3 linked regions of the Oreochromis niloticus genome follow. The protein of the gene in region 3 purifies or fractionates together with the protein of the main gene of each other region. This does not show direct contact. Links are inferred from orthologs where the notes say so. Each region holds a gene or a part of one and is shown on either strand. Other genes may lie near its edges.

What was found. The genes of interacting proteins can lie anywhere in the genome.
Region 1: the proteins of sbf2 (region 3) and mtmr2 purify together in Homo sapiens (affinity purification with mass spectrometry; 3 studies listed by BioGRID and IntAct, with this or other methods). This does not show direct contact. The link is inferred for Oreochromis niloticus from reciprocal best matches to the Homo sapiens genes SBF2 and MTMR2.
Region 2: the proteins of sbf2 (region 3) and mtmr1a purify together in Homo sapiens (affinity purification with mass spectrometry; 3 studies listed by BioGRID and IntAct, with this or other methods). This does not show direct contact. The link is inferred for Oreochromis niloticus from reciprocal best matches to the Homo sapiens genes SBF2 and MTMR1.

Annotation. Positions count from the first base shown.
Region 1 is NC_031975.2:10,965,058-10,974,725, reverse strand, and holds the start of mtmr2 (phosphatidylinositol-3,5-bisphosphate 3-phosphatase MTMR2), read right to left. Parts: upstream 4,103-9,668; 5' UTR 3,900-4,102; coding exon 3,820-3,899; intron 2,192-3,819; coding exon 2,089-2,191; intron 1,989-2,088; coding exon 1,965-1,988; intron 1,860-1,964; coding exon 1,793-1,859; intron 1,704-1,792; coding exon 1,609-1,703; intron 1,536-1,608; coding exon 1,434-1,535; intron 1,147-1,433; coding exon 1,042-1,146; intron 252-1,041; coding exon 168-251; intron 81-167; coding exon 1-80. Other genes in the region: protein CWC15 homolog, read right to left, coding at 5,594-5,723, 5,836-5,963, 6,076-6,186, 6,281-6,381, 6,485-6,597, 6,792-6,922. UniProt on the Homo sapiens protein: Lipid phosphatase that specifically dephosphorylates the D-3 position of phosphatidylinositol 3-phosphate and phosphatidylinositol 3,5-bisphosphate, generating phosphatidylinositol and phosphatidylinositol 5-phosphate.
Region 2 is NC_031967.2:2,851,959-2,861,812, reverse strand, and holds the start of mtmr1a (myotubularin-related protein 1a), read right to left. Parts: upstream 4,103-9,854; 5' UTR 3,795-4,102; coding exon 3,688-3,794; intron 2,117-3,687; coding exon 2,011-2,116; intron 1,916-2,010; coding exon 1,892-1,915; intron 774-1,891; coding exon 750-773; intron 1-749. UniProt on the Homo sapiens protein: Lipid phosphatase that specifically dephosphorylates the D-3 position of phosphatidylinositol 3-phosphate, generating phosphatidylinositol. Could also dephosphorylate phosphatidylinositol 3,5-bisphosphate to produce phosphatidylinositol 5-phosphate.
Region 3 is NC_031965.2:20,473,409-20,484,133, forward strand, and holds the start of sbf2 (myotubularin-related protein 13), read right to left. Parts: upstream 4,267-10,725; 5' UTR 4,161-4,266; coding exon 4,106-4,160; intron 1-4,105. Other genes in the region: adma (adrenomedullin a), read left to right, coding at 8,253-8,347, 8,456-8,581, 8,706-8,979. UniProt on the Homo sapiens protein: Guanine nucleotide exchange factor (GEF) which activates RAB21 and possibly RAB28. Promotes the exchange of GDP to GTP, converting inactive GDP-bound Rab proteins into their active GTP-bound form.

The DNA of each region.
Region 1 (9,668 bases), on a different chromosome or scaffold from region 3:
GCCAGTGTTGATGGGTACGTGTCGCACAGCTCATAGTGATCGTTTACTTTAGTTATCCTCCAGCTTTCATTAGGTATACCCTTGACAAAAAAAAAAAAAGGACATAAGCAACCGGTTTTATGAGCGTACTTTAACATTTAACAAAGCATTCTGCATAACTTAAGTACCTGTCTTTTATACTCTGAGAGAGCATCATACACCTTCCATCCATTTTCAGGAAACACTTGCCCATATTCAAAGGCAAAGATTTGCTGTGGAGAGTGGGGGAGACATATTTCAGGTGGTTGTACACGAAAAAAGGTTTGTGGACTTTGTGAAAGACCTGTGAAAAACTAAGTACACTTCACGATTCAGTATCTTATACAACCATCTTTAAGAGCAACAATTTGAAGTAATCATTTTCTCTATGACATTATCAGTGTCTTGCATGATGGTGGGGAATTTTACCCCACTGTTCTTGAACACGTTGCTTCAGGTCACTGAGGTTTGCAGGTATTTGTTTAGGCACAGCATTTCAAATGGGTTGAGGTCTGGACTGGCCATTATGTTTTACATTTGCAGCTGTGCTTGGGATCATTATCTTATTACATGACCCAATTAGGGCCAAGCTTTAACTGTTGAACAGATGGCTTCACATTTGACTCTAAAATACTTTAGTTCTCTGGCTCTCCTCCACAGCGTGTCTTTGTCCTGTCTTCCTCCCCTAACCCCTAACTGGTCACAGGTGATGGGTGCCCCTCCCTGAGCCTGTTTCTGCTGGAGATTTCTTCCTGTTAAATGGGAGTTTTTCCTTCCAAATGTTGCCAAAGTGCTTGCTCATAAGGGGTCGTCTGATTGTTGGGGTTTTCTCTGTATTATTGGAGGGTCTTTACCTCATAATATAAAGTGGCATGAGGAAACCGTTGCTGTGATTTGGTTCTATATAAATCTAACTGAACTGAAATTGAACTTGGTTTTTCAGAGGACTACGAATATGTGTTTCCCGGTACTGTATGTGCAGGGCTAAAAAAGTCAGCAACAGCATTGCTGGGCAGTACTTACCAGCCCATTGGAAACAGGAAAAGCGAATTTCATCAGCACTTCAAAAATGGACTTCCTGAGCGTGTCCTCCATTTGTTTGTGTGCAAATCGTAGATTACGCATATCCTGTAGAAATGCAGAGCAACAAATCAGGGAAAAACTCATGGGCTAGCAGCTGTATACAAGAATCATTTCATCACAGTTAAGCGTTATTACCAAGAAAGGTAACGTAGAAGTAGATCTTTGTAAAACTTCACTGTTTCTTAATGGGCTATCTCTGGCAGAGATTACACAGCTCTGTCTCTGCTTCTCAGTTGAATAACTGTAAACTACTTGGCTATTTTGCAACTTAGTGATTCTGTAAATCAAAAACAAAAGAAGAAATTCTTTAAAACTTTCACAAGCTTACTCACTTTGCACACCAGCCCATAGGACACATCACGACTCGAAGCGTTTCCAATCCTTTCCACGCGACTCACCACCCCAAGAGGCAAGTCCAACATAAATGTTGACTCCTGGAAATCAGCCAGACATTAACAACAACAAAAAAACCTTCAAAATACAAATTAAAAATAATCAATAACATACCCTGTCCATAGATTTAAAGAATAGCCTGTAGTTGGTGACAGTCACAGTTCCCCTCAGAGCTCCAGTAAAAGGACAGAAGTAGGTGACATCTTGGGCTATGAATAAAAACAAGAGGATAAGGTGATTAGTTTGCTGCATTTTTGCTGTTTTGATGGGTTGTAATTGCAGCTGAATGGAAACCTACCCATGTCTTGCACGGTTTCATTCGGAAGCAACTGTGGTTCTTCTTTGTCTGAATCTCTGATGGCCTGCTGGAAACATATCATCCACTTTAGTTCTGAGTGGTCTCTTGACTGGAAATTTTACTCAAACATACAGGATAGGATGGGTAAAATTAAATGTGTAAAATCATCTACCTTGGCAGATATTTTGGGCTTGACCTGCAAAAAGAAGAGGAGAGCCACGCTTCAGTTTTTAAATTACGAAAATATATATTTTAATAGAAAAATAATAGCGGTGGAACACATGCAGGTCACTAACCCTGAGCTCCGGGGAAAACTCTGCAGAGGTGGACACAGAATCCGAGGACATAGCAGATGGTGGCTTGGCCTGGGCAGAGCGGTCAGAGCGAGAGGTGGAAGTGCTGGTGGAAAGTGACATGACACAAGTGAGAACCATTTATTAGGTGCAGTCTTTTCTTTTTGGGGGGAGTTTTTTACGTATTTACACGTATACGTATATGTAATGACAGAAGACTCAATGACTAAAAAAACAGAGACATCTGTTGAGATTGGCCCTTTGTTTTCAGACTGAGAAAAAAAAATTGTTAAATGTATATTTTTCATTTTCCAGATCCACTCTGATGGATCTGGGCATGCACATTGCCCTGAAGGAGTCGTATAACTGAGGTTAAGTTTAAAATTATACGAGATACTAACACTAAAAATGCAAAAATGTAACATTTTAAAACAGATTACAATTCCGGCAGCATACTCATCACCTGGTGACGTCAGGGCGAGGGGTTAATTTCTTGTGTCGGACTACTGATTTTACCACGTGCACACGTACCTGACCTTGCAATACTACTCACATGGAATGAGCTACTAATCCCTTTCTCATTTCTCTTAATAGTTTTTCTATATTCATTTGTATGTGCAAAAAATATTACCTTGGAACAGCTGCATTTTTAAGTACCTCTGAACATATCTTAAACTTAACCTGAATGATCAGACTCCTACTTTATATGCATGTCTATAAAGTAATTGTCAGAAATGAACAATATGCATATACTTGATTAAACTAAATTATGTTCTCAGTTATAATTAGAATATCATCTGGAAACTCCAGAATTTTGATCTATCTGTATTAGACTATCTACTGGTGTTTCTGTGATAGAACTTATCATGTTTACTAAGTCCAACATGAAAGTTGAATAAGATTTGCATTTTCTTTTTTCAACTAAGAATTTTATGTCAAAAAGCTATTCTACATGTTTCTATTTTGCAGTACTATAAAATACAACTATATCGCAAAAGAAACTGAAACTAGCTGTTTTTGTAATGAGATTTTTATTTACATATTTATTTACTGTATTTTAATTAACCCATATTGAGAGGGATTTTTTTGTGTTTTGTTTTGTTTTGTGTTTTTTTAATTGCAGATCCCGATTCAATTTTATGGTAAGAGGAGCCAGTGAAAACTTCAGGCTTTCATTTATGTCGACGGAACTTCTTTTTTAATCCATCTTCAAAAATATCTGATATACGAAACTAAAACGTCACAGCAATTATTAGATATATCCAGACCACAACATTTTGAGGCAAATCAGACGTGGCTGTGCAGAAAATGTTCTAAAAATATTTGATGATTTGAAAAAGTGTTTTTAACTTGTCTGCCCCACACGAGCGCAAATTGAGCTCTATGTTGTCCATGGACTGAAATAAGTTTGACACTGTTTGGGCAAACAGTCTACTACATCGAGGCTCTGTTAGCTTCCGTTTGACATTTCTATCACATCACAGCTTGAGTGATTACTGGAGCGGATCGATAAAATTGCGTTGTCCTAATTTACAGTTCAAGCTGCGTTGGTCTCGTAGCGCTCACGAGGACACCGTCACTGGTGGATAACATTAGTCACAGCTGAAAGCTTACAAGAAGTGTACTGAAGTTAGACACGCTTAACTTCAGCTATAAAGCCTTAATAACTAACCCCTGCCGATAGTGTCAAAACTTTTGGCTAGCTTAGCGGTGTCTGGCGGTGGGTTTAGCTACCTGGACAATGAATCTACACTCGGCTGTCGGGAAGAGGAGCGCTTCGAGCCCAAGCTGTCGACACTCCCGCTCTTCTCCATGTTCTCCTTCTTCAAGCGTTTGGATAACCGGTATTGCGAGTCAAGACTTTACCGCTAAAGAGCCACTGAACGGTTTTAAATCCCTCCTCCGAGTGAAGCAAATCCCCACAAACAAAAGGAAGCTACCATCTTTTCCCAGAAGCCTCCCAATCCCCGTCACAGGCAGGATCGTTGGAGGGCGCGCCCTCTGCTGTCTCTCTGCGGAACTGCAACTGATCGCGTGCAACGCTTTTCTCTCGTGCCAAACCTCTGGCTACGCAGAGTGGATGATAGGATAATGCTTCTTATTTTAATGAAAACGTACACATTGTCTAATTATCCACCCAGCGTCCATGTGGGTAACGTCATTGCTTTGGCTCCATAATAATGAATGCTAGAATAATGAAATGGCTAAACTGCAGTAAAATTAACTTGAACTTCGTGTTTACATTCGTGTTAATGAAAGACTTAATGCAAAAACAATAGAAATAGTCACATTCATGTGACTATAATGCTTCTTTCTATTGAATGAGATGAAGCTGATAATTACAAATGCAAAAAGGATTTTAGACAATTAGTCTACTGTATGCAGGTAGGTTTAGTAAGAAGGGAGAAGCTGCATCTGCATGTAAATACACCAAATGTGCTCAAATTGTTCAACCATTCTGCACAATTACAGACAATTCATTAAATGAGCAATAAACTGGGAAAATAATCTTGATGAAGTGGAACATGTAGTTCAGATAAGATTTAAGACATGAAACTTGCACCTTTATTTTACTGGAAAGTTTTGTGTGTATATGATAACAGTATCCTGGTGATTGATGTGCTGTTGATTTTTCAAGTCAGTTTATTTTTAAGGGTTCATAAAGCAGTTTAATATGAAGACAATTTATTGAAAAAAAATTAATTTGACAAGAAATGCGACAGACAGGGTGTATTGTGCCTTTCACCCAATGACAGCTGGGATGTGCCTGATTTAGACTTCTGCAGGAAATCCAAGTTGTTCTTTCTACTGCAACCAGAAACCCGTCTTAACTCTACGCTCTAACCTTCCATGTCATTCAGTTGTTGCAGTCTGCTTCGACCTGATGTGTAGCTATATTTCTCAAGTGGTGCAGATCAGGTTGCGGTGTAGGGTTAAGAAGGCTTTCCGGTTACGTTACAATTTCCCACAGAAGTCTAAATCAGGCTCCAGCGCCCCTGTGCCCTTGAATAAGATAAGCAGAAAAAAGTCGATGGCAGATGGCTGCATAAAGAAATAAAGGCTTGACTGCAGATCTCTACACTGTTTAAAATGAAATGTTTGTGTGTGTGGAGTGGCTAAACAGAAGGAAGACATTTCCATCTGATGATCTGACTGGATCCTAATCTAACTGTGCATTTGTGGAGATGCTGGTTTATATAATCTCTGCCAGTTTATTGAAAAAAACCCAAAAGAAAATAAATGCTTGGTCACATTTAAAAACTGCACTTAACTTTTGACAAATTTCACTCAAAGATGTCACGTTGACACATTTATATACAGCATGACTGTACAGATGGATACGTGGTTAATAGCATGGATAGATGGATGACTGTACAAGTATTAATGAAGTTGTATACAGAGTTTATTTGAAAAACCATGTACCCTCTGCAACAGAGGGTAGAGGAAGGAGACCAAACACATTAGATAATAAAAACAAAAACAATACAAATAACACAGAGGAAGTCCTCTACTTTACATATTTCTCCATAAATTTTTTGTGAAATTCAGAGCGCAGTGTGTCATTGACAAAGCGTTTCTCCTTCCGTGCCTCATCCACTCCTTTGGCGCAATTCTTGAACACTACGTCATCATCCCACCTTGAATAATATTAGGAAATGAAATCAAGATTAGATTTAAGAGGTCTTTTTCTCAAATACAAAGCTCATCCTGTGGTTATACTGTGGGTGACTGTGTATAAGTGAGACATACCTTCTCTTGACTCTGAATGTATTCTGTGTCTGGTTCTGTTGCTGCTGTCCAGCCAAATTAATCAGTGGATTGCCGCTCAAGATATTTTCCATTCGAATTCTCTCCTCCTCTGCCTTTTGCTCTCGCTCCTAAGATGGAAAAAAGAAAATTTTACTTAATACAAAGAAATAATATTTCTTCTGACCAAATGTAACGTCTTATTTTAGTTAGTGCAAACAGAACAGCCTAAAACACAGTTACTTTGCGTTCTTGCTCTTCAGCACGCTCTTTTTTAATCTTCTCCAATTCAGCCAAAAGAGCTGCAGTGTCATCATCATCACTATCTTGATCAGAGTCCTCGTCCTCATCATCCTAATAAAATAAAAATCATTGTTAAGGGAGATTAATCAGTACTAACCACTACTCAAGTTAAGTGCCCAAAATGTCTTGCATTGTAGACACTCACATCAGTGAGAGGATCATCAGCATCAAGGTTAGCAGCTGGGATCTGATCCAGTCTTGGCCTCTTTGAAGATGACGAAGAAGATGATGATGATGTGGTGTGCTCTGGAAAAAATAAGACCAACATAATGCCATATGTGAGAAAATAAATATACACTAAAATATATTTTACATAAACAGGAAGTCTAATTTCTGCAGAAAGACCAACCTCTTGGTCCCCTCTCTCTGGTCTTTTCACGTGCTGCTACACGCTCCCTCTCCTCCAGCTCTCTACGAAAGTCACGGGCACGGACCTCCTCAGGGGCATCCTGGGTAGGTTGCCTGCAGAAGGGAAAACATTAGCAGATCAATAAATTGTAATTTTCGTCCAGAACGCTTTCTGGAACACTTTCACCAATCTCACAGTGAGCAGACAGATAATGCAGTACAAACTGATCCGAAAGCATCTTTCCTTCTAGCTAACCAGCCAGCAGATCAGGCAATGATAAAACTCCATTCACATTTGATCTTCTGACCTGTACTTGATCTTTGTGTGACCTGGAAGATCTCGACTGGAGTATTGCTTGGAGAGAGCACTCAAATCACCTTCTCCTTTACCCCTCCCTCCTCTTGCCGGCTCAAATGTTGGTCTTGCAGCTGTAGTCATCTTTGATGGCTCTGCAATGGGACAAAGAAGACATTAAACCTATCAAACAGGTGGAAAAGTTGCAAGCAGAAAAAGCAGAGCAGACACGGTGTCCATAATCAAATTGTAGTGCCCTACAACACAACACGCTTTTACTCCACTTATGTGCCTTATAGAAAGTCAGAAGGCTCATCTTTTTGGTTTTTAGACAAGCTGGTACAACATACCCTTTCCCAAATATCAATTACCTACTCATTAAACCTCAGTGGTGATCAAACCGCTTATAGTTCACGTGTATATCTATATTAGCAACGTAAATAACAGTTGAGAGGCATTTAGATGACAAGTTACGTAATTTTCCTAATAAATATCATTTGTTCACCTGCTAAAACTCCAGGTCAACCAATTAAACCTATAATTAACAATTTTCTGATTAAATTGAGACTGTGGCATTTTAAATACTTCTTTGTAAGATAAATATCAGCTGCTAAAAGGCAGTAAATGAAAAGAACAAATTAGCCTGCTAGCTGCTAAAGCTAAAACGCTGCTACGCTAACTTCCTATAACAACGCCGATGAGGTTGAAAACGACACTAATTCGAGCCTTCGGTAAGACGGATAATGTTTCAGAGAAGTGATATTACAGCCAAAAATAAAGGAAATTTAAAAAATTCATTAAGCAGTATTTAAAAATTAGGTTTAAAGAAACAACACTTACAAAGCCGCTACCACACGACGAAAGGAACACCGATACAACAATCAACGTCACTTCCGGAAAAAAAAGATGCGTTCAGAAACACTCAGAGAAAATAGCGTGCGAAAAATCAGAGATTTTAAACTTCTTACATCTCAACATAGCGTTGACACCACTAGGGTCTACGCGTATAACTTAACAAATATGCTACAGCCTCTCTAAATTTTATTTTGGAAACCACCACTTCCGAAAGACTGATAGACTAAATAGACTGCAGGGGCATCAGCGGAGGAGTGACCTGTCTTCTGAATAGTGCGTTGTGTTACAGTGAAGGAGTTAAATGAGGATGCTGTTAAGTGCAACGCTCAAACAGATGCGTAGAAGATGCATTCAAAGCAAAACCTCCCTGTAATGGTCACACAAACAACTCTAACACAGTACAGGGTGGGCCATTTATATGGATACACCGTAATAAAATGGGAATGGTTGGTGATATTAAAGTCCTGTTTGTGGCACATTAGTATATGTGAGGGGGCAAACTCCTCAAGATGGGTGGTGACCATGGTGGCCATTTAGAAGTCGGCCATCTTGGATACAACTTTTGTTTTTTCAATAGGAAGAGGGCCATGTGACACATCAAACATATCGGTAATGTCACAAGAAAAACAATGGTGTGCTTGGTTTCAACATAACTTTATTCTTTCATGAGTTATTTACAAGTTTCTCTTTGTGCACAGCCACTGACATGTCGAAGAGGTTAACACGTGAGGAGCGGATCGAAATTGTGTTGATATCTGGTGAACGTTGTAACCGGGTCATTGCAGCAGATTTCAATGCAAGACACCCTACGAGATCACCCATCTCCCATGCTACAGTTAGCAAACTGCTTGCTAAGTTTCGTGAAACTGGTTCAGTGTTGGATTTGCCAAACTGTGGACGCAAGAAAACTGTCACGAATGAAGAAACATCAGTGGCTGTCCTAGCTTCATTCAGCAAGAGCCCACAGCGTAGCACTCGCCGCATGTCACTGGAGAGTGGCATTAGTCGAACATCCCTTTGGCGGATATTAGCTACTCACAAATGGCACCCTTACAAACTCCAGCTACTGCAGCATCTCAACGAGGATGACCCAGATCGGTGCACAGAATTTGCAGAATGGGCAAAACAAAAATTGGAACAGGACCCTCAGTTCACGCAGAAGATTTTGTTCAGTGATGAGGCAAACTTTTATGTGAATGGTGAAGTTAACAAACCAAACCACCGCTATTGGTCTGACACTAACCCACATTGGATGGATCCCTCCAAGACTGTTGGACCAACAAAAGTGATGGTTTGGTGTGGTATATGGGGTACAACGATAGTGGGTCCATTCTTCATCAATGGAAACCTCAAGGCCACTGGATATTTGAAATTGCTACATGATGATGTGTTTCCCTCTTTATGCACTGAAGCTGGCACGTTCCCTGAGTTTTTCCAGAAAGATGGTGCACCACCACATTATGGGTGCCAGGTCTGAGCATTCCTAGATGAACAGTTTCCTGGAAAGTGGATTGGTCGTCGTGGGCCAGTTGAATGGCCCCCAAGGTCTCCTGATCTGACCCCCTTAAACTTTTATCTTTGGGGTCATCTGAAGGCAATTGTCTATGGTGTGAAGATATGAGATGTGCAGCACCTGAAACTATGGATACTGGATGCCTGTGCTGGCATTTCTCCTGCGGTGTTGCTATCAGTGTGTGAAGAGTGGGAGAAGAGGGTTGCATTGACAATCCAACACAATGGGCAGCACATTGAACACATTTTATAAGTGGTCAGAAACTTGTAAATAACTCATGAAAGAATAAAGTTATGTTGAAACCAAGCACACCATTGTTTTTCTTGTGACATTACCGATAAGTTTGATGTGTCACATGGCCCTCTTCCTATTGAAAAAACAAAAGTTGTATCCAAGATGGCCAACTTCTAAATGGTCACCATGGTCACCACCCATCTTGAGGAGTTTGCCCCCTCACATATACTAATGTGCCACAAACAGGACTTTAATATCACCAACCATTCCCATTTTATTACAGTCTAT
Region 2 (9,854 bases), on a different chromosome or scaffold from region 3:
ATTGTATTGTTGCTATTGTTCTTGTGCTATTGTAAGGTGACCTTGAGGCTCTTAAAGGCGCCTATAAATAAAATGTATTATTATTATTATAACAATCCAGACCTAGGTTTGCTCAGGAGCTTCACAGATCCAGTCATGATTCCTTCCACCCATTGGCATGATTCCCAGTCAAACAGTGAATTATTCCCACAGCTTGATGCTCCCACCACCGCGATGGCCTTCACATGCAAACACTGTTTGCTAACTTTAATGTCTCCAATGGGAAATTGATTTGCAGCGAGTCCACTCAAAAAAAAAAAAAAATCCCCTCTTTAATTTGATTTTCTTGTTGAGGCACTACAGTTTGTCTGGTTGGTTTTTGCTCTATTATAATGGAGTCAGTTTCATACTTAATTAAGAAAGAAAAAAGAAAGCTGAAGAAAGGCACAGAGGGATAAAACAGGAAGGAGGAAGTACACTGAGCAGGGAGGAGTAGCAGCTCTGGTCCGTCTGCAGCAGGAGGCTGATTTGGTTACACACTGTCACACAGTAGCAAACTGCTCAAATTTGCATCACATACAATATTTATTCAGCGCACGTCCTAACACCGTTACAGTTATTCGTCTAATTTGAACACTTGCTGTATCACAATGCTACTGCTGAAGAATCACAGTCAAGAGGCAGCTGTTGTTTTATCCCACGCTACAAAACTCCTGTGTGTGTGCAGTGCGCTTGTGTTGTAAATGTGTTGAAAGGACAACAACTCTTACCCTGCGATTCAGCCTCTTGGACACCTGGAGGTTAAACACACCACATGGACATGAAATGGAAAGCACTAAGGTGACACTCTGGTTTCAACCCAAAGGTTATCTTTAATGTGTGGCACATCAGTCTGTGTTTATAACAGAAGGATGCAAATAGACAAGCGCACAAAAGCAACCTCCAAACAATGAGGTTCAAAATTCAAGCAAAGACAACAAGTGACAAACAGCCGATACAAGTTTAGACAAGCTGCAGGAAAGCTGCGCTTCTAACTTTGTTCTAATGAAGTGAGCCTTAAATCAGAGGTGGAGGGTTTGATCTGACACAGTGGAGGTGAATTCATTACACACATTTCATTAGATGTGCACAGAGGGGTGCCTTTTTAAATTCAGCAGCTATTTGTCATCTCACAGACAGTGTACATACCACAGTGGTGACAGTGAAGTCTGTGCTACTCTGGTTACATTTATCAAAACTGTGATAAGTTGCTGGAAATGTAACTTATCAAAGAAATAACACAACTAAGACTGTTCAGCTCAGACTTTTCAGCAGCTTTAAGCACAGAGTTTGGTTCCAATCTGGATTTTGGGATGGAAAACTCCAGTTCTTTGAATATTTGTCAGCCTTATTGCTCAGGTGGAACGTAATAGCTGTAGAAGATGTAGTAAGGTGATGGGTGCCACTTTTACAATTGCTTTATCATATTTTATTGTCAGCGTTTGCAAAGATCTAATGTTAAACAACCGGGGGCCACAGTTTGGTCTCTCTCTACAGGTCTAGTGTAATATATTACACTTGCAAACAATACAGCTAAACCCTGCTGTGGGTTGTCTAAACTACCAGAGATCTATATGAGCAGCATTGTTTAGTTAACAAAGCACATTGCATATAATGTGCAATACATAGAACATTACACCTCTAACTGATCTGAGGTCTAAAAGAGAAAAACCAATATGAATGAGCCAATATGCGCCTCGCTACAGAGAGGTGGTTGCAGAGAGCAGGCCGCTGACAGACAGAAGCAGTCGATAACTTGCTCAGTAGCTTCTCTAAACAATGACGACAGACTTAATCATTCATATTGACTTAACAGACAAAACTAGGCGCCCACACTCAAAGCAGCTCACAAGGAGAAGTCTCCGAGACTTACCATGAACTCTGGTCTTCTCCCAGCCTATTAGTTACAAAATACACACTGATGAGAATCACTGCCAGCAGTGTGTGTGTGTGTGTGTGTGTGTGTGTGTGTGTGTGCTGTGTGTTGTCTACCTTGATGTCCCTGCTCCCAATGTCTGGTTGGACTGATCCTGAGATCTGACTGGAGATTGTGGCTGCTATTAGCTGTTTACACCATTCTACGTGAGAACCTGTTGGACTGAACACAGAGTGAAACAATGAACTGAAGCTGAACTCCAGATTTCAGGCTGACACTAATACTCAGAATGACAGTTTGGCTGATATTGTTCTTTATTTTACTTTTGCTCAGTTTTCTCCCTTTTGTTGCACAGAAACAAATAAATGAATACATTATTTTAAATAAATAAATTGTGTTAGAAAGTTCTTTGAGTTCTTTATCACACCACTTTTAACATCATCACTGTAAAATGAATGTGTTGAACAGATAAACATCATCTGACAGCAACAATGATGTTCTGCTGACTACATGTTACATATGAGAACGTTCCACCCTGTGTAGTAATTAACAACAATATTATTAACTAATATTTTTCTAATATTTTTTCAACTGCAAATGATGTCCTCAAAGTCAAAGTTTGTCAAGGTCTGTTTTATTTAATAAAATAGAGTTACTTCACTTCAGTTGTTTGTTTTTACAGCAAATGAGATTGTTAAGAAAACCAACACTGCCACTAAAAGCTGCCACAAATGTTGATGGACTGAGTCTGCAATCAGACTGGTACCAGTCTGCAACTATACCGGGTAAAGCTGCCAGTTATATGCAATCTGTCTCTGATATAAACTGCATTTCTCTGCGAGTGATTTCAGTCAGTCGAAGTCAGACTTTTTTGTAGTATTCACAGAGTATTTTCATTTATTTAATAAAATGTTGTTTTTTGGATGCAATATCTCCATGCAAAATTTGATGATACTATGCTGTATTGATTTTTCTCCCAATCCTAAGCCAGACAGTACAACGTCCTGTCTTTGGGCTTTGACAGCGGTTGTCTGAGTGCTGGAGACAGACGGTCCCGTCTCCTGGACAGTCCTGAATATTAAGCCAAGAACAATATATCAGGAAAAGCAGCTCATATGAAGCTTGTCAGTGATAGCAGATAAACCAGTGTCTCTGACAGACTCAGTCTGGATTGGAGCAGCTTTGTGGTGTGAATGTCATGGAATGTTAAGGGGGAGGAGTTACGACTGTGTGACGCTTCCTCCAGTTTTAGTACAATGGGGGGGGCGATGATAACCATAAATAATACATAAAGAATATGGCTCCTACCCAGCGCAACGCAACTCCACGTTTCAGTGTCGGTATTGTTTTAACAGGAGCAACATTGTAACATTTTTATCAAACTACAAAAACATCATGTCATATCTCCCTCAGGTGGCGGCTTCCTCTGAGCGGCAGATACGGATGTTTAACTCGGTGTCTGCAGGCTGCGTGGCCATTCCTGTGCATTTCCTATATGCTGTGTTAATCACGTGATCCTATTATTTTTTGTCAGCTAGTGTATCGCTACTGTGTTGTATGTTGTCATTCCAAATCTGAAATGAACTGGTAACACGCTACATCATTCCATGATGAGTGTTTTGTCACGTTGGAAAGTTTGTCCCAAGCACTGGTCTGTGGATCGATGCCGAGATGAAGGTGTGAAGAAATACTACTAATATTTCATGTTACTGGTGTACAGTGGGAAAGCGAGACAACCATAAGTAACAAGCTGGGCATCGGCGTCACGTTTTCTCGTTAGCGAGCCTGCTTACCTGTCCAGGGTATCACCGGCTGCCGCGCCGCAAGTCGGCGAGCCCCACGGCTTTCTGTTCGCCCCTGCACCGTCCCCAGCGCCGGCACCTCCGGCCTGTTTCTCCATCTGTCACACAACTGCTTCGTTTCTGGGTCACCGGGGGCGGAGATGGATGGTTTCCTCTGATACAGACAAGGGATGCGGATGAAATTAAAGCTCGGTGTAATCCCAGTGTCCGCTCCCAGCGGGCTGTAATGGTTCTTTAAAGACTCCGAACTGTGTAAAGAAACTAATCAGAGGCTCGAGAGCGGATCTCACATGCAGTGGTTTCTTCTGGTTTGGTTGTTTGCACTTCCTCTTAGTCGCATCTATAGCCGCAGCATTGTTGTTCGCAGTGACGTCGCCACAGCTTCTACCAGTGCTAAGGATGCTGTAGCACCGTCCTGACCGATAGGCGTCGCCATTTAGACCAAACTGCCACATCAGCGGAGGAAGAAGAAGTCAACACGGAAAGGAGAAAAATGCCACGAAAGGGTGTAGTTATCAAACGTGTTCATCAAATAATAACAGAATACAAAAAAACACACGAATAAACAAATAACCAAATATTTTATCTTAAATGAACCTGTCTGAATTTACCAGGACTTACTCTACATACTGCTGGCAGAGACGCGGGTAACTGCTTAATAAAGATATTACAACAAGATTCTAACACAGGTATTACATTCTTCAAGGCCAACTGATAATAAACATAGGATAGAGCATACAGCGTATATATAAAGAAAATTTGTTCTTGACTTTCAATATCTTTTTTACAAAAGCTCTGAGCTTTACTAACCAGCTTAAACATCAACCTGAAAAATTCATCACCCTGATAAATATCAGTAATTGTCTTAAAACGAACTACTTTCTTTTGGGGTAATAAATGAAATGACAATTAATTGGTTTTAACTTTTTCTCCACACTTGAAAAATCTATCAAATGATATTTTTTTCTTTTTTACAGGAAGAGGAAAACATGCTTTTGTAACTAGTAATCTCTGGATTTTTTTAAACACCTGTGCTGTCTGGCAGGTTTAGCAGGCACAATCATGGTCTGGAGAAAATAGCAGAGGAACAGCAACAATGGCTGCAATCATAAATCAAAATCAATCATCAGCCTGCGGCCTGGGCTGTCCTGGTGCCATATGCACTTATGGACACCTCTATGAAGCAGGAAGCAGAGTTGCAGTCTTACACGCCTCTCTGCAGCTTCTCTCCTCCTGCTACCCCCCCAAAAACCCATCTCCATTGAGACTGTGTCAGCTCCCAAACAGACAAAAAACAAACCAAAAACCAGCAACAAAAAACTTAAACATAAAAAATCACAAAGAACGACCAATACAGGTTCCACATCTGAACCAAAGAGTAAAACAGTGTGGATTATTAAATATTAGGTCTCTCTCCTCCAAGTCTCTGTTAGTACATGACTTAATAATTGATCAACAAATCGATTTACTCTGCCTTACAGAAACCTGGTTGCAGCAGGATGATTATGTTAGTTTGAATGAATCAACACCCCCGAGTCATTCTAACTACCAGAAACCTCGAAGCACAGGCCGAGGGGGCGGTGTGGCAGCAATTTTTCACACCAGTCTATTAATTAACGAAAGACCAAGACAGACTTTTAATTCATTTGAAAGCCTGATGCTTAGCCTCGTCCACCCCAGCTGTAAAACTCAGAAACCAGTCTTACTTGTTACCATCTATCGTCCACCTGGGCCTTACACAGAGTTTCTGTCTGATTTCTCAGACTTTTTATCTGATTTGGTGCTCAGCTCAGATAAAATAATTATTGTGGGTGATTTTAACATTTTAATGACATATGATTCTTGAGTCTTTACCTTCCAATATAAAGCGTCTTGAGGCAACTGTTGTATTTTGTCGCTGTATAAATAACATTGAATTGAAGTGAGCATTAATGACAATACTCTTTTGGTTTTTCCTATTTTTAACACTTGAAAACTACGTCCACTTTGTGCTTTTATAAAATTATCAGCTATACTACAGGATATGACGTGTGTTTTACTGCTCAGCTCAGATAAAATAATTATTGTGGGTGATTTTAACATCCATGTAGATGCTAAAAATGACAGCCTCAACATTGCATTTAATCTGTTATTAGACTCAATTGGCTTCTCTCAGAATGTAAAAGAACCCACCCACCACTTTAATCACACTCTAGATCTTGTTTTAACATATGGCATAGAAACTGAACATTTAATAGTGTTTCCTGAAAACCCTCTGCTGTCTGATCATTTCCTGATAACATTTACAATAATTGATTACACAGCAGTGGAGAGTAGACCTTATCAAAGTAGATGTCTTTCTGAAAGTGCTGTAACTAAGTTTAAGAATATAATCCACCCACTGTTATCATCTTCAATGCCCTGTACCAACATAGAGCAGAGCAGCTATCTGAATGCTACTCCAACAGAGGTCGATCATCTTGTTAATAATTTTACCTCCTCACTACGTACGACTCTGGATACTGTAGCTCCGGTGAAAACTAAGGTCTCAAATCAGAAGTACCTGACTCCGTGGTATAATTCTCAAACATGTAGCCTAAAGCAGATAACTCGTAAGCTGGAGAGGAAATGGCGTGTCACAAATTTAGAGGATCATCATTTAGCCTGGAGAAATAGTTTGTTGCTTTATAAGAAAGCCCTCCGCAAAGCCAGAACATCTTACTATTCGTCACTGATTGAAGAAAATAAGAACAACCCCAGGTTTCTCTTCAGCACTGTAGCCAGGCTGACAAACAGTCAGAGCTCTACTGAGCCAACAATCCCTTTAACATTAACTAGTAATGACTTCATGAACTTCTTCACAAATAAAATTTTTATCATTAGAGAAAAAATTACCAATAATCATCCCACAGATGTAATATTATCTACAGCTACTTTTAGTACCATCGATGTTAAGTTAGACTCTTTTTCTCCAATTGATCTTTCTGAGTTAACTTCAATAATTAATTCCTCCAAACCATCAACGTGTCTTTTAGACCCCATTCCTACAAAACTGCTCAAAGAAGTCCTGCCATTAATTAATTCTTCAATCTTAAATATGATCAACCTATCTCTAATAATCGGCTATGTACCACAGGCCTTCAAGGTGGCTGTAGTTAAACCTTTACTCAAAAAGCATCTCTAGACCCAGCTGTCTTAGCTAATCATAGGCCAATCTCCAACCTTCCTTTCATATCAAACATCCTTGAAAGAGTAGTTGTCAAACAGCTAACAGATCATCTGCAGAGGAATGGCTTATTTGAAGAGTTTCAGTCAGGTTTCAGAGCTCATCACAGCACAGAAACAGCTTTAGTGAAAGTTACAAATGATCTTCTTATGGCCTCTGACAGTGGACTCATCTCTGTGCTTGTCCTGCTAGACCTTAGTGCAGCGTTCGATACTGTTGACCATAATATCCTATTAGAGTGATTAGAACATGCTGTCGGTATTACAGGTACTGCACTGCAGTGGTTTGTATCATATCTATCTAATAGACTCCAATTTGTTCAAGTAAATGGAGAGTCCTCTTCACACACTAAGGTCAATTATGGTGTTCCACAGGGTTCAGTGTTAGGACCAATTCTATTTACATTATACATGCTTCCCTTAGGCAGCATCATTAGAAGACATAGCATAAATTTTCACTGCTATGCAGATGACACGCAGCTCTATCTATCCATGAAGCCAGGTAACACACACCAATTAGTTAAACTGCAGGAATGTCTTAAAGACATAAAGACCTGGATGGCCGCTAACTTTCTGCTTCTTAATTCAGATAAAACTGAGGTTATTGTACTCGGCCCTGAAAATCTTAGCAATATGGTATCTAAGCAGATTCTTACTCTGGATGGCATTACCTTGGCCTCCAGTAACACTGTGAGGAACCTTGGAGTCATTTTTGACCAGGACATGTCCTTCAATGCAGATATTAAACAAATATGTAAGACTGCTTTCTTCCATTTGCGCAACATCTCTAAAATTAGAAATATCCTGTCTCAGAGTGACGCTGAAAAACTAGTTCACGCATTTATTACTTCCAGGCTGGACTACTGCAATTCATTATTATCAGGATGTCCTAAAAACTCCCTGAAAAGCCTTCAGTTAATCCAAAAGGCTGCAGCAAGAGTCCTGACAGGGACTAGAAAGAGAGAGCAGATTTCTCCAGTATTGGCTTCCCTTCATTGGCTCCCTGTTAAATCCAGAATTCAAAATCCTGCTCCTCACATACAAGGTCTTAAATAATCAGGCCCCATCTTATCTTAATGACCTTGTAGTACCATATCACCCTATTAGAGCACTTCGCTCTCACACTGCAGGCCTACTTGTTGTTCCTAGAGTATTTAAAAGTAGAATGGGAGGCAGAGCCTTCAGTTTTCAGGCCCCTCTTCTGTGGAACCAGCTTCCAGTTTGGATTCAGGAGACAGACACTATCTCTACTTTTAAGATTAGGCTTCAAACTTTCCCGCAGCAGATGGCCCCGCCCCTCCCTGAGCCTGGTTCTGCCGGTGGTTTCTTCCTGTTAAAAGGGAGTTTTACCTTCCCACTGTCGCCAAAGTGCTTGCTCCAAAGTGATTGTTGGGTTTTTCTCCCTTTCTATTATTATAGGGTATACTGTACAATATAAAGCGCCTTGAGGTGATTTTTGTTGTGATTTGGCGCTATATAAATAAAATTGAATTGAATTGAATTGAATTGAATATGTTCGAACATGCTATTTGTTATGGACAAACTGTGGTTTACACAGAAGTGCGCTCAACAGAACACTGCTCTGGTTCAGATCTGGTAGACTGTTCCAATCACCTCCCTCCGGGTCTCATTGTTGTTGCCCACATGAGTGTTGAAGTCTTCCATTAAGATGACAGAGTTCCCATGCGGAGCACTCTCCGGCACCCCACTCAGTGACTCCAAGAAGGCCGGGTACTCTGAACTGTTGTTCGGCACATAGGCCCAGACAACAGTTAGGACCTGTTCCCCGACCCGGAGGCACAGGGAACAAACCATTTTGTCCACCAGGAAAAACTTCTACATACAGGCAGCAAGCTGAGGGGATACTCAACTGTCCACCCGAGCCCGCCACCTCTCACCAACAGCAAGTCCAGCCCCTCTCCAGGAGACTGGTTCTGGAGCCCAAGCTATACGTTGAGGTGAGCCCGACATATGTAATCAGTACCTCTCAATCTCACGCACTAACTCAGGCTCCTTTCTCACCAGAGAGGTGACACTCCAATGTTTTACAGAGTATCTGTAGAAAATGTAGAGTCTTTGTAGACTCCCACAAAGACTTCCTCCACTCACTCTGATTTTTATCCATCAGCCATCATCAAGCTGCTAAATACATTATATTTGGAGTGGCTGTAGAGCAGGTCACCTACTAACTAGAAGGTTGGTGGTTCAATCTCTGGCAGGTGTAATCTGCATGCCATCCTTGAGCAAGACACTAACCTCACGTTGCTCTCTGCTGCATCCATCAAAGTGTGAACGTCAGATAGATGAGGCAGGTTGTGTAAAGCGCTATGAGTGCTGAGAGTAGAGGAGCGCTATAAAACAGACCACTGACCTTCCCATCAGGGCTGCCTCGGTGCACAGTCAGTCAGAGAGCCTGCTGTGTTGTTATTCTGACTGACAGTCGTGTAGGGGGCAGTGTTTCCTCCAGTATGCAACTTTCTTTTTGAAATATTCATGTTACATTAACATTGTGCAATGCTTTGCTGAACTGTTATTTCTTTTTGATCTTTATGTCACATTGCAGAGACACTGAAGAGTAATTTGTACAGTCAAGCCCATAATTATTTATACCCCTGGCAAATTTTGAGTTACTTTTATCCAACCACCAAGTTTTTTTTTTTCCTAACTGGAAATGACATAGTCTTATCTTTTGGGAGACACTGATGTACAAGAGGCATCATTGTGGGGAAAAAAAAATATCTCAGCTTTTATTTAAATTTGAGCAAAAAGTATCATGTCCAAAATAATTCACACCCTTCTCAATAATCAATAGAAAAGCTTTAATTGGCTATAATAGCAATCAAACGCTTCCTATAATTGCAGACCAGTTTGTCTGCACAGGTATTTTTGCCCATTCATCTTTAGCAATGTGCTCCAAATCTTTCAGATTTGAGGGTCTTCTTACCATCACCCTC
Region 3 (10,725 bases):
TGGGACATCACGGGGAATCTCATCAACCCAGCAACCGGCTGAATCCATGCCATCACTGATTGCCTAATCAGACATGTAGGTAAACATAATAGAGCAGAACATACAAAACTTTCGCAACACACCCACTCATGACATTACTATACAAACACAACAATTCCTGTAAAACCACTTGAAATTAAAAGTGAAAACCTTTGCGTCTGTTTTGTCAGGAATGCTCTTATCTAGTCTGTATCTTGGAACCAGCCTTAATGTGTTTCTGCTGACCGTGATCCCACCGTAATCAGAGACCCAGCTTCTGTGTGCAGTAATGTGGTGGTCATCATTAAAAGGGAAAATCCAAGAGGGGAAATACTCTGGAACCTGAAGCTTTTCCAACTTATAGACTCAATCTTTTTATACTTGCCCCTACTCCTTAACTATGCCAATAGTTGTTACTCTTAAATCTTAGTGGACGGACTCTGGCACAGAGATTTCCAGGCAGTGGCAGAAGGTTTCCAGTGTGTGGCCTCAGAATCAAATCTTTGCATTTTGCAGATGACGTGGTCCTTGTGGCTTCACTGAGCAGTGACCTCCAGCTTGAGGAGAGGAGGTTTGCTGAGTGCAAAGCAGCAGGGATGAGAATTAGAGAATGGGAATTGTTTATGTACATTTCTAAACTCATCGATGGAAATGAGCTGCAAGTGATCTGAAGAGTATGGATACAAAAAGCAGAAATACGCTTCCTGTGAAGGGTGTCTGGGTATTACCAGTGATCAGGTGAAGATCTTTTTTGGATGTTTTGGAGAGCCACTACTCCTCAAAAAGAGCCAGTTGAGGAGGTCGGGGCATCTAGGATGCTTCTTGGATACCTTAGCGGGAGGAGGCCCAAGAACGGACCCAAGTCACAATTCGGCTAGCTTGGGAATGCTGGGCAGCTAATCTCCACAGATTAGCTGGAAAAGCTCTGCTCTGCTTGGACCGCTGTCCCCACGACTCAGACAAGGAAAAGTGTCCAAAAACAGATGGATGTGTGGATTCATATTACTAGTATGCCTGATAGTCACACATCTAAAGCTGCAGACTTGCATCTATCTGGGTACCAATATCATTATCTTATATTTAAAAGACATCATCAGATGGAAGTATTTTGCTCTTATGGAAGGTCTTTTTTCTTTGTTTTGTTTTTTTCCTGGACTGTGCTTGTTACATAAGCCGTTGCCCCACATCCAAACTCGAAAATCCAGACCGTAGAGTTTGGGCTCTGTGTCTGTGAAACACATTCCAAAAGCAGTTTGATTCAATAAAAAGTGATGATATCCCACCAATAAATTGTTTCAGAAAAGCAGCTGGGCAGATGCCTCTTTTTCACTTGGCAAACTGCAATTTATGGGGAACCGCACGCCAAACCGTATATAAACCTTTGCCAGTAAAGGGAAACAGCGCCTTAATGCAAAAGGAAAAAGCCAGGATACACTGCGGGTTCGATACAGGCTGCATCCTTCAAACACGGCGCATTCACATTCCAACTCATTCGTGAAAATAATTCCAGGGTTTATGGCTCATGACACTGGCCCCCAGGGACACAGACTCAGGTCCAATTTCTAAAAGAGGAATCTGCCGGTTATATTCCTTGCTATCAGACTGACGACTGCACATAATTTTTTATATGTCAGAGGTACTTAAATGACAAAAGCGTGTGCCAGCTATAGGTTCAACCAACAGCAACAAACTCTGGATTTAGAAGGTGCCAAACTTCAGTGTTTTATTGCTTGTTTTAAATCACTTCAGTCTGGTGGACCAATCACACAATAAGCGTGATTTTAAATATATTTCATGAATTGGGTCGTCTGCCTCGTAATGAAAATATCCCAAATGGTCTGGCTGGATTTATGTTGACACTCAGGGGACACAGAAAAGAAATAAAAGAGCAATTTAAGCAAGTTACTGAAACTGGGTCATGCGATTCCAAAGAAAAACAAAAAACAGACCTTAGTAACAAACCACAGCACACGTGTTGACATACTGTAAACATTTTCGGGCTAAATGCAGTGTACAGTATTGCAACTTGAGCCTTACCTACTTGCATGCATGAGCTTGCATGAGAAAAGCTCCACTGCCACTAATTTAAATATTTACCTGACTTTAAAAGCATTAATGTCATATTATTACAATAATAACCAACAGCAATTCATTATTTTACAAGCTGGAGTCTGATTTTACTACAAACTGTGAGCCAGCCTAAAACTTAACAGATTGTGGGCTCAGTGTTATTTCCAGCAGATCCATTCGTAGTAATCTAACAATGAGAAGTGGGTCAGGGCAGTGGAGCAAATGCCAGCACAGCACAGGAGGGTTAATGAGGACCCACGTAGGGATCCCTGGTTTGAATTAATGAGCGAGGTGGCCAGGAAAAATCTGCCGTCTAGACGAGCTGCTGCACATTACCGTGACTAGCACGCCTTCAACAAGAACACTCTTCTCACTCAAGTCATCGCTGTGGAGAAGTTATCTGTTTATTTTCCTAACAAATCTAGAAGGCAGTGCAATTTTCAAGTTCTACCGCTTACAGACAGGGGCGTTCCTGCAGGACTGGTGTCCAAATCATCACCCGATAGGAATACAGTTCAGTCAAGACTTCGGGAATATTTTTGTTCCCCAGAGAGGCTTCCACAGAGATAAGACATAATCAGCCACAACTTGTGCTAGTGGATTTTTACAGCTCTCTCTCTCCCTGCAGCTGACTTCTTCATCATCAGCAGGCAGGCAAAGAAAAGACTTAACTCGTGGCCCCTGCGTCTTCTTGTGGCGAGACCATCTGAATGTGAATCCATTCAGACTCTTCGGGTGACGCCAGGAACATTTTGTCCCCGGAGCACAAAATATTCATTTGTCAGTTGGCGCTGGGGTGCACAGAGCTGATGAAAAGCACTGTTTACCTATTATGCATAGCAAGCGATGGTGACTGAGGGGATTCAGCTGCTCCAGCCCCCTTCTGAAGCACATGGCACTGAACGGATGCCATTGAAAAAGTGTCCGGGAAACTTTCTTTTCTACCCTCAATGCAGATTAGATCAGTTTTTTAAACTTTCTCCAGGCAGCTCATTATGCATCATTCTCACAGGATACTTTTAAAAAAAACAGTGCATCATGAGAAGTGATAAACTGCAAAGTACCATTCATGCCCTGTGCACAGCACGAACAATGCGTGCAATGCCAAGATGTTTTCATGTATTTATCTATGAATGCTTGGAAATGTGTGCAAAGCTGTTTCCTGTCTTGGATGAAAAGAATGTGAGGCTGGACCTGAGGCACGGCTTGTAAGTGGAAGCATGAGGAGCTTCCTGTCCCACAACAGTGGAGAGGGAAGAGGAGGGAAAAGGACACTGGCCCAGAGCAGGCACTGCCCTTTTGTTGCAGCTGTATAATGTTCCGCCCATCATGAACCACTTCAGCATTCTTCCAGCAAATAAATAAATAAATAAATACATACAACACAACAACTCGCTGACAAGTGTGGCTACAGCGGATAAATACAGACCGGAAGCAGAGCATGCAGGACAGCCGAGGTGCAACACCAAGCCCCTTCCCCTCCCTACCCAATTTGAACCCACCAAAAAAAAAAAAAAAAAAAAATCCACAACATAGAAGCAAACCGGCTACCAATAGCAATCCTGACCTGGCTTGAGTAAGCACACAAATATGATAAAGGAGGAGCTAGATTTTGGTTTTATATGGCTGAATGGCCCCTTAGACCTGATAACAGGATCACGATCAACAGGGCAGGATGTGACAGATTTTTTTTTTTTTTTTTGAATCCACGAGAAGTTTCAGCTGATCCAAGTCAAATATCCCAACTCCTCGTGTGTAAACATCCACTGGTGACTTAACATCACGCGTGTGCTTTCTGTGTAAACACACGCCCGCTTGATCATATTGAGCGGGTGGCCGGTTGAGGAGGAGGGAGTAAAAACCAAAAAGGGAGAAAAAGTATCTCCCAGTCTCGCCTTGTAGCCGTGTGGCTAAGCTAGCGCAATGCTATCTAGCATCAACATCATCACACACACACTGACTGACGGCCTGGACACAAACCTCAGCTCCGCCAGCTCAATCTGAGAGCCAAACTTACCGGCTTTCTCCTGATCGTATCCCACGACAATGAAATAGTCAGCCAATCTAGCCATGTCTGCCGCTTTTCCCGAGATTTACCAACACAATTCAGCATTTTTCCTTCTTCCAAAGCACAGCCATGTTTGACAGAAGGAGTGTCACTGCGCTTGCGTGCAGGAGCGGGATACATCCATGGGCGTGGGCCCTCTCGAGTTTACAAATACAGCTCTGTGCTCCAGTAGAGACTCGTTTTGGCCCTAAAGCACTGTTTCTTTTTATATATCGAGGGTAGCCAAACCTACAGCCACCAAAACCAAAAGAATACTATATTTTACTTTAACTGTGTGAAGTTTAGGACATTTATTTTTATTTGAACGGCCTCAAATCACAGCATAAGTCATCTCAGGGCACTTGTAAGTAATTTACAGTATAACAGAAAAGAAACCAAACACTTATAATAGGAAATTTTATCTTGGCCACTCTTGGATTTGCTAGAGACTCTGTAAATAGAATAGAATAGCCCTTTAGTGTCATTGCACATGTACAACGAAATTATGAGTGCTCCACGCCAACTGTGCAGGAAAAAAATAGTAAAGACATCAGGAATAAAATAAATGGCAAACAGAAGAGAGAAGATATATACAGTAGTACTGCTCTAAAATACTAATGATTAAAAAAAAGAAACACACTTTCACTTTCACTGAGTAATGTAAAATATTTGCATCAGATTTTTAGTCAGTAGAAGTTTCCATGTTACTATATCACAACATGCTGTTTTATTATCCATGCTATGCTCTTTTTTTAGAATGGTGATTGTGATGTAACATCTCTTAACCAGTGGACTGTGTACAACCCCTTAACCTTAAGTGCACATTTGCCACTAGTCAGCTCTGTCTGAAGCTTAAACCGACAATGTTCTGATTTATTTTTACTTTTTATGCTACAAACTCCAACACCAAATGCAAAAATTAAAAATCCCCATGCAAGGACTATTCCATAGACTTACAAATTTAATGTAACATTAATTTTTTGTATTTGTTTTTGTTTAAAAAAGATGTCAAATATCGAGTTTGTGCAAAATATTTAGTATCCATGAAAAAAAAAAAGAGAAAAGGACAAGCCGAGTAGCACGTGTCGATGAGTAATATGTGAGTGAGAGAGTCACGCATCCACCACCACCACCTTTGCGGTCAACAATAGCAGGAACACAGCAAGCAATTTCCTCTCTCTTCTTCTTTTTTTTCCCTCGTGCTGTTCATCTGCTAGAAAAAAGACACAGGTAGTCAAAGAGTTGAACCTGTGGCAGAACACATTAACACCCCTTTTTTATATAGCGTTTATCACAGCACAAGAATGATCATTAAGTAAAAAGACCCCACACAACACAATGGATATTTCAAGGTAATAATTATGACTTATCTTTGTAATTTGTGCTTTTGGGGCTGACAGCCTCTTTTTTTTCCCCCTCTTCTCCCAAACATGACGACTGTTGCTCGGCTTTTCTGACACACAGACCTACTCATGCATTAAAGTATAAGGTTGTACAAAAACTGTCGGGTCATCTTACCAGGACAACATCAGAATGGACTTTCAAAAGATTGCTATATAAGGAGCCAAAAAGCACCAGAGGAGTTTTGTTGTCATGATTGCACCATCTCTTGTTGTAAACTCTGGTAGGGGAATTATTTGTCCGCTGGAGGCAATTATCATTGCAAAGTGCTTGCAAAACATTCTGCTTTACAACACATGTGTTTGTCATTTATGTTGTTTTTTTTTTTTAGTTTGAAATATGACACCAAGGAATGAGGTCTGAGATATAAATAAACTCAAGAAAGTTTTTAATTATAATGAGATACGAATTACAGGATGCTGGTGCGCTACAGGGGAATTTGAAGCGTTACATCGTCTTTAATTCAATTTGAGCTTTTCTTCCCCGTAATTGAAAGTGAAACAAGTATCAAAACTGAAAGAAATACTTGGACCTTCTCTGCAATGTTAATTTACACCATATCCAGTGCCTTGTGGAAATTTCTGTACTGGAATTTCTTTTCTGAAAAAAAGAGAACAAGTCGGTATTTACAGCATTTCACACACAGGGTCATTCTTGGGTGCATATTACCTCTTTGTGCTCATCTCAAATACAGACACATTAGATCTTCACTAGCCGTGGCTCAGTGAGATGAGATAAACAAAGTTTTAGCCTCCCCAGCTGGTTATTTTTTTATGCAATTTTATGTGATTTATTTATTTATTTTCGTCCTCCCTAAGGGGCTCGTAATAAGCATCTGTCTCACGAATCCCACAGACAGTTTTGATTTTCCACGCTGTGGAAATCTAAAACATCTTCCCGTGTGTTCATGTAAAAGCAACATGCAAATTTTGAGTTATAATGAAAAAGATAGAAATATAATAAAGTTCAAACTGATGAGACATGTTGGTATCACCTGTATGAACTCAAAACTTATTCTCTTTGCATTCCTAAGGTGAAAAGTGAGGTGAGATGACACACTATAAAGAAATCTCCGGACTGTTCTAAGAAAGCCTGAGGTAATATTGTTCATACATGACAGTTCTTTTGTAACTTTATTTCTAGTTAACTGTAAAATTCCATTTCACATTTATCCAAATAAATTTGTGGTGAGCCCATAGTCAAATATTTGCCTCGTACAAACAAAAACATAGAGCACATTCTGTTTATAGTTGGGAATACGTGTATTATTTAATCACTTATTCAGTTCAGTGTCTCTTTCAACGTCTCAAATTCATCATCCAGTACATTTTCAAGCAGACATGGAAGTTCACCACATCAGGGAGTGCCCTGAAAACGAGTCCGATGAAGCATTCCTTAAATTTCACTTCAAACAATTAGCCAGATGGACTGAAAAGAGCATTAACAAAAACTATAGCCGTGTGACCTTAAAGTCCAAATATTACAACTATAGTTCAAATATTACAGCCACAAAGGAAAAGGTCTTTTCTTTCTGTGATTAACACCCACTATAGAAAGCAGCCGTCTGACGTGAACATGTTGTACTCTTACTGGCACAGTGAGTGCACTGTTTGACTTACATAAATAATGACTACCCATTTGCTTATACACACACTTAAATTAAAAAAACAAACATTATTTTATTTTTAAGAGTCATGCTGAGGTGTAAAAAGAAAAAGAAAAAGAAATAAAAAAATCTAGTGCTGTGACTCGCTGAAAGCATGAAAGAAGAACACAATGACAGCAACTCTTAAATTTCCTTTAATGCTTCATGTTTAATGCTTTTTCAAATGCATTCCTGAAGTTTTAACTGCTGTAGTACAAGAACAACAGCGCAGCAGTAGTGTACTGGATGGGGTGGGGGTGGGGGGGGAGATGAGAGAATGAGTGAGTCAATTAGCCCCTCCTACAACTTTTGCATAAAGGCTCCCGTCTTGTGTGGAGGAGCTATTAGCAGAGTGACACAGCTGCCTTACAGAACTAGAAGCAATCTCAAGAAACCTGTGGAGTACTCTTTCCCAGCTGATTCTAGAAGAAGAGCTTTCTCATTCAACTAAAGAACAGAGACTAAGGTATGTGCACTTGCCTTTAAAATAGACATTGCTGTGATTTGTTATGCCACTAGCTGATGGCTTTATCCTTGCTTTTTTGAGGTCAGGGCACAAGTGTAGAGACAAGAACAGGTTATCTGTCTGGTTATATAAGCAGTTCAGCTCTTAATGTGTGCGTCTGTTAAGGAGTTGCCTTCAAGGTGCAAAGCATCCAACAGGGGCAGTATATCATGTGCTGTTTATCATATTATTGCACATAATTTTGCTGTTTTGTTCTATTTAATCGGGTGACTGAATTGAATTACATTTGTTTGTGAACTATTTTTGCCCGCTTATTGGGAGACTGTGTCCTTCACAGTACTGGCCAGGGGCCCAAAGCATGGTTGTAGGTTTACTTAGCCCAGCAAGATCTGACCTTAGCTTAACTTTCTAAATAAATGAATGATATGTGCAAATAACTTGGCTTTTGGACTCTTGTGTAAGCAAGCACACTTATTACAGTATGAAGGAGTCTAGCATGGATAGAAGGAGAGCAGGAAAATTGTATAGCTAAATATTAATAAAAATGTACGAGTGACTAACTATTGATTTTTCTTTTTTTTTTCCTTCTCCAAACAGGAGCCAAAATGAAATTGATCTTCCAGTCCTTCATCTACTGCTGTTTGCTGGCAACAGTAGCACACTGTGTGGAACTTGAAGTGAATCCTGAATTGAAAAAGAGGTGAGTTAACTGAGGAATGATTTTCATTTGAACCTGATTTAGGGTGTGACACTCAGCATTTGAATTATCTACCTTGGACTAATGGCATTTTTTCCCTTCCTCTTACAGGCTAAGCATATGGCTAGGAAGCAGACTGAGGCGAGATGTTGACACCATATCAGTAGAGAAGAGAGCAGAGGCTGAGCACCTTGTCAGACCAGAAGACATCAGGGATACGTTGTTGCCACATTCCAGGTAAGATCATGCAATTCTGACAGTTTTCTTACAAAGTAAATATAAATTCAAGAAATCCAAAGTCAGCTATTAACAGTTCAGGATTAAACAGTATAGACTCATGTCTTCTCCCTTTGTTCTCCAGCACTGACATCCACGTCCGAACCAAGCGGTCTTCAGGCTGTGCCCTGGGTACCTGCACAGTGCACGACCTGGCACATCGTCTGCACCAGATCGGCAAGTTGAGGGTCGGGAATGCACCTCCCCACAAGATTAGCCCACACGGATATGGCCGGAGGCGTCGCTCCCTTCCATCACACAGAGTCTCACTAAGGCAAGAGCAGGGCAGGCTGAGGCCCGTGTGGAGCACGACTGACTCACAAGTTCACAAGCTTGAGGCCCTCCTCAGACGGACATGAGCACCACTTTGCAACGGGAGTTGGGAACAAAAGCAAAGGAGTAGTGTCCTGCCTGCTCTGTTTTAAAATTCTTGAAGTGCCTCAGACTACAGCCAAGTATTCTCCAGCACATTTGTTCCAGGCTGGAGGACCGAGTCAGTGAATCAGAGCAAAACTGGCTGCAACTGAGTTTGTCCAAAGCTCGAGCCTTGCAATGAGCTCAGCAATGTACAACTTTCAAAGAAAAAAAAAAAAAACTGCAGCTGCTTATAGACACTGGATGGCACAGCATGGAGCAAACTACAGGTGCTGCTCTCTGCATGGCAGAGGAAAGGGAAGAGTGCTAATACCTGGCAAAGTGGACTCATCCTCTCGATCAAGGGGGAGGACTAATATTCTGGGACTTAACACATTTATTCCTCAAGGCCAAGACTTTGATAAGTGCTATCCTTTAAGGATTTGTGCCATTGTGTTCCATGAAACTGTCAGTACTTGTCTGCACTTTTCCATTTGGACTTAAAGTCAAATGAATCATCAGGAAAAGACATCTTCATCACAATGCCAAACACGAAGATAGGCTCCACAGCTCTAAAGCTATCAGTTTATATCAAGTTTTGGACACTGTATAAGGGAAAAATGCCTTAGATTATGTGATATATGTGCCAGTCCTTAATGGACTGAAATATACTTGAAATGTTGTTGTTTGTAAAAAAACACAAGTGCAATCTATATTTGTTTTTATTGCAGGTATGTGTATATATGAATTACTTTATTTAAATATTACATAGAAGTTACAGTAAAGTACTTATACAGATAGAGCTATTTTTGTACAGGAAGAAATATATATGGGCATTGTAGCTATTTGTCATTACTCTTGCAAACTGTGGTAATAGGATATCTGTTTTAGAGGTATATTATATATTTGTAAATGTGTTCTATTTTATTTGTGTCGCAGCAATAATGTCATTCAATAAACATTTTGCATACAAAATCGAAACCTTGTTTGGCTCTCCTTTCTTTGTGCTTCTGGCTTGTGTGAATTCAAAGTGGCACTCTGTCTGAGGGCACACTGTTACAGCAAAACAAAGAGCACCTGGACTCTGTTAAGTGTTTAAACGTTCTCATTAGAGCCCCCCTCCCTTCTCTTGCCGCATCCCCCTATTTATGATCCCACTCAAAAAGGGCAGACAGGTTGCCAGGCACATTCCTACTAGGTTCAGCTCCCATTTGCTGGCTCTCTCGACACCACAGAGCAGCCCTGAAGCCACTGGAGGAGGCTGAGGCTTTGGCTACATCTGTGTTCAATGGAAGATGTTTGGGACACAAGTCGGCTGATGCGGGGGGTTCCGGTTTAACATTCCTTCCATATCATCCCGATAGCTACTCACACACAGCACCGATCAAAACCTTCCCGTTCCAGCACAAAAACAACCGAACCGGATTTAAATCATTCAGATGTCCCATTTTCACCCCTCATAAACCATTTAATATATTCAGAAGTATTCACAACAATGAAATATGCACTTTTTAACACTCATTTAAAACACAGAGGGAATAAAAGATGGGTCTTTCATATCAGGTCAAAGATTATTGCTACTCTTTCTCTGTATTTTGAATGATAAGGTTCCTGCTTTTAATTTAGTGGAAATCCATATTACAGCTGTTCAAAGTGCAGGTAGAAACAAAGTGAGGATCACCGCTGTATTATGTGTCGTTCTATTGCCATCTAGAGATATTCGATGGCCATAACTGCAATATTATGGCATA